Solanum lycopersicum: one gene and its partner. The protein of the gene in region 1 interacts with the protein of each later gene in a biochemical or structural test. Links are inferred from orthologs where the notes say so. Each region holds a gene or a part of one and is shown on either strand. Other genes may lie near its edges. The genes, in order: peroxisome biogenesis protein 5 and peroxisomal membrane protein PEX14.

Region 1 (4,621 bases):
TGTTGACAAACGAGTGCAGAAAGCTAGACAATACTTGTTGTGGAGGCCCTAGATTGGGGAAAAGGCAATCAAACTCATATGAACATACAACAAAGTTCATGAAATTAGTTCCTCATATCATACTATTTTCTTCACACATACTGGCAATCACCATCCACATAAACTTATCGATATTAACTAGTTATCAACAATAAAACGAAAGCACCAGGTTGGAAATGTGAAATGCCAACCAGGTACAAGTTCAATCATTTTCTCTGATGTGCCTTTTACCTATATGATCAACATATCGATATCTATCATGTCCTTTGAAAAGTTGAAGCACAATAAATGAACTCGTATAGGCTTCTCAACAATCAAATATGAGTATTCTCCATCCACGGTATAATTCACACACACATACACATACAGGATCCTTCTACTACAGTTTTTCATTGCCATATTGACAAATACACACAACAACCCATTTGCATATTAGTCGTGTTCAAATTCATAAAAGTAATGATTGAAGAGACTGTTTAGTGTTACCATTCAAATCGGGTTGAAGCCGAGCATGCTCCAAAGGGATGTTTGTCATGTTCTGACTTCCATGAGGAAAAGGAAGTTGAGGCCTTTGTATCTCATCCCAAGCATCAGCAAGCTTATTTTGATCAGCAGAACGATACCCTTGAAGGAATTGGGAACCCTGAGAAAGTTGAATTACAAATGAGTAATGCACTCAAAGTTGGATCCCTCACAACCCACAAGCATCTATATACATTAACCTGAATATTAGGCTGAAGTGGATGTTCAAACTCTGATCCTGGAAGCGAGACAAATGGCTCTTCAACACCCGCAAGGAAGTTGCCATTGGACGATGTACTTACTGATGTAGGGATCTCTTTTAGCCTCTCCTGTAAGAGAGATGAACCATCAATCAGGTTAATGCAAGTCCATAACACATCTACACACAATACACTTTGAACCTGAAATGTCTTTTTTTTTATGACAAGGGAAATCCGCAGCCGCTACCCTTTGGGTGCGCACAAGGTAAAACCCCCCTTCCTATTCAATAGCTCGCAAACCACATAGGAGAGGTAACCCACACTAGGCAAGTCCAGTGCAACGAGCTCGACCCAAAAGGCAAACCCCTTGCTTTCATTGGCAAGGGGTTTCGAACTTGAGAACTCCAACAATGGAAGTCCCAAGCCCAAACCACTGGGCGACCCCGAAGGATAACCTGAAATGTTATTTAAGCACTTTTGTCCATCTCAGGCTATTTCTGTCAACAAAATTTTTCAGTATAGATACATGTGTGTAACCACTACAATTAACAACTATGCTGATGCTAGTATAGACTAGACGTTAAGAGACGCCTATTCCTAGTGTAGAGTAGACATTAAACTAAACTACAGAAAGCTCCGCTAGGATTCACAATTAGCAAGTTAAACTAATTCATCAGCAATTTACTTGAAATGTGCATCAAACAATACATCCATTTCGGTCTGAAAGTGGGATAGATAACCTGCTTGCTTATATATGCTCCAAGATATCATAGTTATCAGTCACTTCCCAGTCATGAATCATTCAAAAGAGAAACCAAACAATAACCTTATAGAGGTTTACATAGTTGAGTATTTATAGGTACTTCAACCCAAATAAGTGGTCTTCCAATTAGAATGGACTACACTCAACTACATAAAGTTCTGCACATATACAAAATTAGCAAATTGGAAAAAGAATCAGCGATTTATAGGAATTCGGAACAAACAAGCAGCTAGAGGAAACACATGTAAACGAATTACTTCATGTATGAGATTGTATATCAAATAATCAATCAGTCAACTGCACCTTAAACACAATGATATATATCCATTTCCTCTTATTCAGTATTAATAAGCTGCTTGCTTATATGCTTCAAAAATATCACAGTTGTAACACTTCCCAATCATAAATTATCCTAAGAGCAATCAAACAATAACTTTATCGATGTTTTCTCAGCTGAGAATCTATATGTGCTTCAACCTATAGAAGAAGTGATGTGCCTATTGAAGTGGACTAAACTCAACTACACAAAGATCAGCACAGATTCACAATTAGCAAATCGAACTAATTAGCCAGCAATTTAAAGGAAATACACAATGTTGGTGTAGTAGTGCTTAAAATCCAACACATAACAAACAAACAGCTAGAAAAGCATTTGTGAATGAAATTCTTAGTGTATGAAACTGTATATATCAATAAATATACCGCACCTTAATCTCAGTTATATACATCCATTTCACTCTGAATTCAATATTAATAAGTTGCTTGCTTATATGCTTCAAAAATACCACAGCTATATAAAATAACCTTATCGCGATTTTCTCTATTTGATGCTTCACCGACTAAACTCAACTCAATCAGCAAATCTAACTAATTCGTTAGCAATTTAACACTGCGTAAGCAAACAAGTATATAGAAGACATGGATGAACAAATTTCTTCATGTATGAGATTATATATCAATCAATCAAGTACAATATAATCTTAATCACAATAACATACATCCATTTCTGTCCAAATTGAGTATTCATAAGCTGCTGTTTCACGAAGGAAGAGAGAATTACGATATACCTGAGTCTTAGATGATGAACCGATGAGTGCGTTAGCGAGAGCACCAAGTGGATTAGAAGAAGAAGAAGGTTCGCCACAACTAGGAGCACCGGTGACCAAGTCTCTCATCGCCATGACTTTGTTCGAGTTTTCTTCCCTCTTTTGTCAGTATTATATGATATTATACGAATTGTAGTCGATTGAAGGGAGGAGAGATGGTGCCGGCGGTTAAGAAGACGACGGTCGACGGAGGAGACGGTGAGGTGTAAAACTTGTTGTGTAGTGATTGTGTGGGAATATAGGGAAGGGAGTCGTGATTATTTGTGATGGACAGAAATTGGGGTTTGGTCGTTTTTATCGCTATTGGGAAATGTGACCAGCAGGCTATATAATTTGTTATTATTTAATAAATATTTTAAATACTAATTTTTTCTAAATATTTGGATTAAATTTCATTAATTGAAATCTTTCAAAAATTAAAATTTTACATCAAACTTTTACCATTTATTAAAAGGATAACTTTCACATATAACAAACATAAAATTTATATTTATATGTTATAGCAAAGTTTGCATAATGTACTCCATAGAAAACATATAAATGTATAAATTCGCTATACACATAAAATTGAAGCGAATTGTATAAAGTTTGAGGGTAATGCAATGGTGTTGGTTCCGATTCGACAAAGGTAGAATGCTTGGTCGAAGGTCCAATACAGTAGGTAGCAGGCGTGTTCGTTTTGGCTCCCGAGCGAGAACGATAAATAGGCGATGCACCATCCTTGCTGCTACGTACGGGTTCCTTGACTTGACAGATTCATTCAATTGAACGCACACTCAAAGGAGGACCACAAGCTTGGGGTTAGATTTTTTCGGTGTTCTCGTTGAAACACGCAGGCATGCTCCTTGCTTCTGGGGACATTAATCCAAAGCTCGAGTACGGTCCGTGTGCCGTTTTTCTTCTCTGAAAAAATAATAATTCCTAGTCCGAACTTTGGACCTGTTTCACACTTGAAAGAAGCAATATGAAAAAGTGTATAAAACGAGAAAGAGAAAGAGACTTGGACAGAGAATTGTATAATTATACACTTTGAATTTGTATAAAATGAGAAAGAGAGTAAGCATAAGAGACTTGGGCATGAAATATACAATTGAATCGAATTGTATAAAACGAAAAAGAGAAAGAGAAAAATTATATTCAATTTGAATTTGTATAAAACGAGAAAGAGATAAAGGTAAAAGAAACTGGGCAGGGGAGTATTTTTATTGTATAATTATAAGTATATAGAACGAAAATATATGTATTTGCATGTGTACATACAATTTTGTCTCGCTTTATACAAACATAAATGCAATTTATACATTTCGTTTCTATTTGTATAAGCGAGAGAGTCCAGGGTAGCGAGTGAGATTTGGGAGAGGGGAGAGAGGGCAAAAGTATATGTATTTATACAATTTCCTCTTACTTTATATAAATAGAAACAAATTTTATACACTTGTATTTGTATAAAAGTGAGAGGAAGCAAGCGAGAGATGGAGCAAGAGAGGAGAGTGGCGAGCAAGAGTTCGAGGGAGAGAGGTGACTGATAAACAGTTTGTTATGGGACACAATTAAATCAAAGGGTGGTTATAACAATTAATTTGATTTATTAGTTTGTCGTTTTATACAATTTTTTCTTATAAAAACACCCTCTGTAGTAATTGTTTGATAGTATTACATATTTTATTATGTGAATACTAAAATAGTGATGAAATATTTAATACGAATATGAAAGTGTTTATATGGTTGTTGATGAAAATGATGAACAATCGGCTCAAGATAAATAAAATCATGTGCTTTGTCTACTTTACGATTATGGAACAATGATGCTTGTTACAGTGACTCCAAACTATTATATTGCTCCAGTGTCATGTACGTTACTTGATATTTATTGCAACGAAGATTTAATTGACTTGTAATACAAACTTATGGTTGTTTCTAAAACTTATAGGTATAAATCATATTTTTCTAAAAAAAGTGAAATATGTTTCTCAAATACTATGATCAAACAC
Region 2 (4,401 bases), on another chromosome or scaffold:
TCATGTACTAGCAAAAAATGGTCAATATGCAAAAACCTATTGATTAAGTAGAGAATTTCTACTTCAAGAGCAAATGAAGAGGCACACCTTCCAGTTTCTCTATAGCACTTGTCATTGATTTCATCTCACGTACTTGATAGTTTAGCAGGCTTGTCAGCTCCTCAAAATACCTTTTCTCTGTGGAGGAACACAAGTTAAATCACAACATGATTATCGATGGTAAAAAAAAATAAGCACTGGATAAGAAAGAGGATGAAAGATTTAAGTCACCAATGTTGAACAATATTTCAGTTTATTTTATTTCAGATCCAGTTCTTAACTTGTTATTACATAAGAATTTACATTACCAACCTTCGGATTTTGATGCCAACATCTCCTGGCTTGCTCGGGCAACATCAGCAGCAGCAGCTGCTGCAGCTTTTGCAGCAACAGCAGCTTCTTCTGCTAAACTTGGTTTTCCCTTGACAATACCTTTTTCATCTTCTTCTTCATCCATTACAACCTTGCGTATCCAAGACTTCAACCGGGGAATAATAGATTTCTGCAAATGGACGTGTCACTTAACAGTGGGTGATAAATATAGTGAGTAGTCCATGAGAAAAGTTTCCAATAGATTGTCATAAGCACCAGAATCCTACTTTAGAGATGGATCTAATAAGATAAAGCATCGGAGGAGACCAAATAAATCTGAAGAAAATCTTCATAACAGGGATATTTATAATAAAGAAAGAAGGAACACAAAAGTCAGAACAGGGTTAACTAAAAATCTTCAAATAGTTCTTCAGTTAAGGTACACGCTTTTTTGAAATGACCTGCATCTAGAGTATATAGGCGTGGTCAAATTTTCCATCACCATGCAAGCTCCTCACATATGAGAGGCCAGAGTTACATCTATGAGATACCCATCATTAATCAAATACCACCTTTTGTAATTTGTATGAAATCATTAGGCTTTTTTTCTTTTCTTTTCTTTTCTTTGTTTCGGTCAATAAGTTCAACCAATTTACTAAACTAATAATAAACTGAACCACCACAAATAAAAGTTTGAGATGTCTCGCTTATGAAAAATAAATCTACACTGAAGAAATGGGGAATAGACAGAAGAAAAAGTACAATATGGTACGGATTGGCATGATAAATAGAAAGCTCTTTACTATGCAATACCTTGAAAAGTACAGCTGTTCCAGCTCCTGAAGCAGCGAGTAGACCTACAGCAATAACTGCATGAGTCCAATGGAAATGAGAGAGATACCCCATTTTTTTCATGCTATTGCTCGGAGCTGACGCTGGCTGCAGATTTTGTAAAGCAGCCTGTGATGTACTAGTCGATGAAGGCTTCTGTGTCCCATCTGTCATCAATATATCAGGACAACATGACAAGCATAGGCTCCAAACAGTATCAATCTCAAGAAAAGAATAAAAGGCCAAACTTATTTCGAGAACAATATGAATTACCTTCATTAGCAGCAACTGGCTGTGTGCTAGTAACAGTTGGGGTAGGATCCTGTAATTTAGGCACAAAATCAATATATATCTTAAATTTCATGTAGATATTACAGTTACATTTAAGACAATATCAAATGTAAAAAATCTAAATGTGGCTTACAGGAACTCGACGAAAGGCCTCGTCAATTTCCTCCTTTGTAAGCCCCTTCCTCTCAAGAAAAGAACGCCTATACATGACTGGAGATCCCCTAACTTTTGGATGTGAAAGAAATTTCATAGCATTCTGGACTTGGTCCTCCCGAATTGGTTCCGAGTTTACAAACACAGAAGCTGGAGAGCTCCCACTTGCAGCCTCAGGCTTGGGACCTTGATGATTTTCAGCTGCTGGTTGCGAAGCTGTTGCTTCAAATTAGAAATTTAAGCTTGGATTACGATATATCATGAAATTCTCTGTTGCTTCAAATTAGAAATTTAAGTTTGGATCACGATATAGCATCAAATTATCTATTTCATACAACATCGTTTCTCTTGTTGAGAGGGTTTGCTGGTGCATTCTAATCTATGATTGTGCAAAGCCTCGTAGAGAAAATTATCTAGTTAATGAACCTACCATCCTCAGAAGCCTCACACTGAAAACAAAATCACCTAGTTATCAATATGCACATTATATACAGTTACTGGATATCAAATCAATCCATTTATTTAAGAACATTAGGCTTAAACCTGTCATTAGTTGCTAAGGTAAATGTTTAAGAACACAGAAAAAACCTAATTATCTCGAAGATTTGCACTACACCAAAATCATACGGCTTCTAACAACACAAGCTACAGTATTAAACAAATGATCATTAGATGTAACAATATCAAGTTAGTACTACTTTATTGCTTAACAAACCAAAAGTAGCAACCATCCATAAAAGAAAAAAGAAGCACAATTACATGCTCCTATCCCAGTTAAAGACAAAAAGGCACAAACATCATAAAGTCCAAAAAGATTCGATCTTTATGGCAAATACTTCTTTTCAGATAACAAAGTAGCAGCAATAACTAAACATCACGATCTATTTCTGTCTGATATTCAAGAATCAACTAAACAGTAGCAGAGCAACAACTTTCATCAAAGAAAAGCAACTAAAAGGGTACCTGGATTCTGGGTATTCTCGTTTACGGAGTTGGGTGGAGAATCTGATTGAGACGCCATGTTATCCAACTCCTATTGAACTGAATTTCAAGAACAGTACAAGAAAAAGAACATGCCAAGATTAGAGGAGAAGAGAAGAAAAGGAAAAAAAATCCAAACTTTTTTTTTGTTAACATAGAAATAGGCACCGAATTACCTCAAGACGAATTGATTATTGATGATAGTATGTCAGAACCCACAAGTGGATTTTGCTCATCTCGAAGCAAATGCTATTACTAGCTTTTCTGTGTGCGAAATTGCTTATTGATATACAAAATAACAAGAAGACAAAACCCTTTGCAGATAACATGGCCCTCAAAGAGTCAAGCTCCTTTTTCTCTGTCTTTTTCTTTTTCATTATTTTTAGTCTAACACGTAACTGATAAAGTTATTATTACGTAGATAAAAGATTAAAACTTAAAAATGTAGTTTAGTGTAGCATGTTCCCTTTAGTCTTGAGAGCTAAAGTTGTGTGGTACTCTTACCTAGAAAATTATAAGAGGTAACATAATTTACCAATCATTTAAAAAGAAAAAAATATATTAAGATTTGCATGTTATAGTAACCTAAGGCAAAATAATTAAAAGTTCTTAGAAATCATCAAATATATTCTTGCTCCGCTTTCTCCGAGTTGGTGAAGGTAACAAGTACCTTGTTAAACGAGTCAAGGTCCATGCAGGCTGACACAGAAACCACAATAGAAAAAAGAGAGACTGATAAGCCGAAAAATGTAAATCTGTTTAGAGGGACAGAAGATTGATTTGAAGAATAAATACAACACCATGGACAAAATGTTTGCATGGACAATCAATTCTGCTAATAATGTTACATCTTTTCTCTATACTCTCACAAGAATCACATAAACAAGCAGGACGGTTTCATGAGTGATGAACTGGAAAGCCGCAGGCTAAAAGTCCATGAGGAAGAAGCTTGTGTAACATTTATGTTCCGCGGTCTGGTTACAATCACATTATCCATCACATCATTTGGCTGCTAGAGGCTATGTGGTCGAAATGCTAAATCCAGTTCAATTTACTCTGTCAAGCAGCTTCTCCACCATAATCTTTTGTTGCACTGAGGTCAAGGACTCAGAGTTCATTATTGCATTCGCAGCAAGGATGATTGACGATTGGTGCTCAGCATTTACCTATTACAGCAGAACAAGTATCTAAATTGAGAATAGAGGCAAAAGTATTTGAGACTTAGAAAGAGATGGACGGATCAACCACAATAAATAGAGAATGAACAGATTTATATATACCCACACACGGCCGTTTAAACCAACAGCTATCTCAAAAGCTAGCTTCTTTCCAAGACCTTCAAGAACTGGACATGTTGGTGAGCTCAGCAGCCTAGGAAAAAAATACAAAAAGATGAACATGTAGCTAAGGGAATAGCATGCAACAAGACCTTCAACCCTTTTTCTTGTTTCTATTCTGATGAGCAAGTTAAGGTTACAGTAAAATCTAAACCAAAGATTTCACTGTTGCAAGTGAAAGCCAAAATAGAAACTTACATCCGTGACAAACCAGTTGATGATTCAAACATATAGCCATCTTTAAGGGGTCCAAACTCGGCAGCTTTTCCAGAAGCTGTATCGAATAAGATGATTTTATTAAAATCAAGAGTAACAGCAGATAGATTAGGGCATTCAAGAAATTCTTTGCAACTTAGAGGAAGTACCAACCATCCATGCACGATAACTCTGGGTTTATTCCTGGGTTGGCCTTGACAATACGAGTATAAATTAGAGTACCTACCTGAAATTCCAAGAC

The links.
Region 2: the proteins of peroxisome biogenesis protein 5 (region 1) and peroxisomal membrane protein PEX14 form a complex in vitro, tested with the Arabidopsis thaliana proteins (2 studies listed by BioGRID, with this or other methods). The link is inferred for Solanum lycopersicum from reciprocal best matches to the Arabidopsis thaliana genes PEX5 and PEX14.

What each region holds. Positions count from the first base shown.
Region 1 is NC_090809.1:802,365-806,985, forward strand, and holds the start of peroxisome biogenesis protein 5, read right to left. Parts: upstream 2,961-4,621; 5' UTR 2,706-2,960; coding exon 2,592-2,705; intron 891-2,591; coding exon 762-890; intron 683-761; coding exon 526-682; intron 49-525; coding exon 1-48. UniProt on the Arabidopsis thaliana protein: Receptor that mediates peroxisomal import of proteins containing a C-terminal PTS1-type tripeptide peroxisomal targeting signal (SKL-type).
Region 2 is NC_090805.1:46,438,768-46,443,168, reverse strand, and holds the start of peroxisomal membrane protein PEX14, read right to left. Parts: upstream 2,952-4,401; 5' UTR 2,784-2,951; intron 2,668-2,783; 5' UTR 2,648-2,667; coding exon 2,590-2,647; intron 1,849-2,589; coding exon 1,607-1,848; intron 1,505-1,606; coding exon 1,456-1,504; intron 1,350-1,455; coding exon 1,165-1,349; intron 542-1,164; coding exon 352-541; intron 178-351; coding exon 88-177; intron 1-87. Other genes in the region: uncharacterized protein, read right to left, coding at 3,654-3,773, 3,888-3,978, 4,143-4,218, 4,314-4,386. UniProt on the Arabidopsis thaliana protein: Component of the PEX13-PEX14 docking complex, a translocon channel that specifically mediates the import of peroxisomal cargo proteins bound to PEX5 receptor.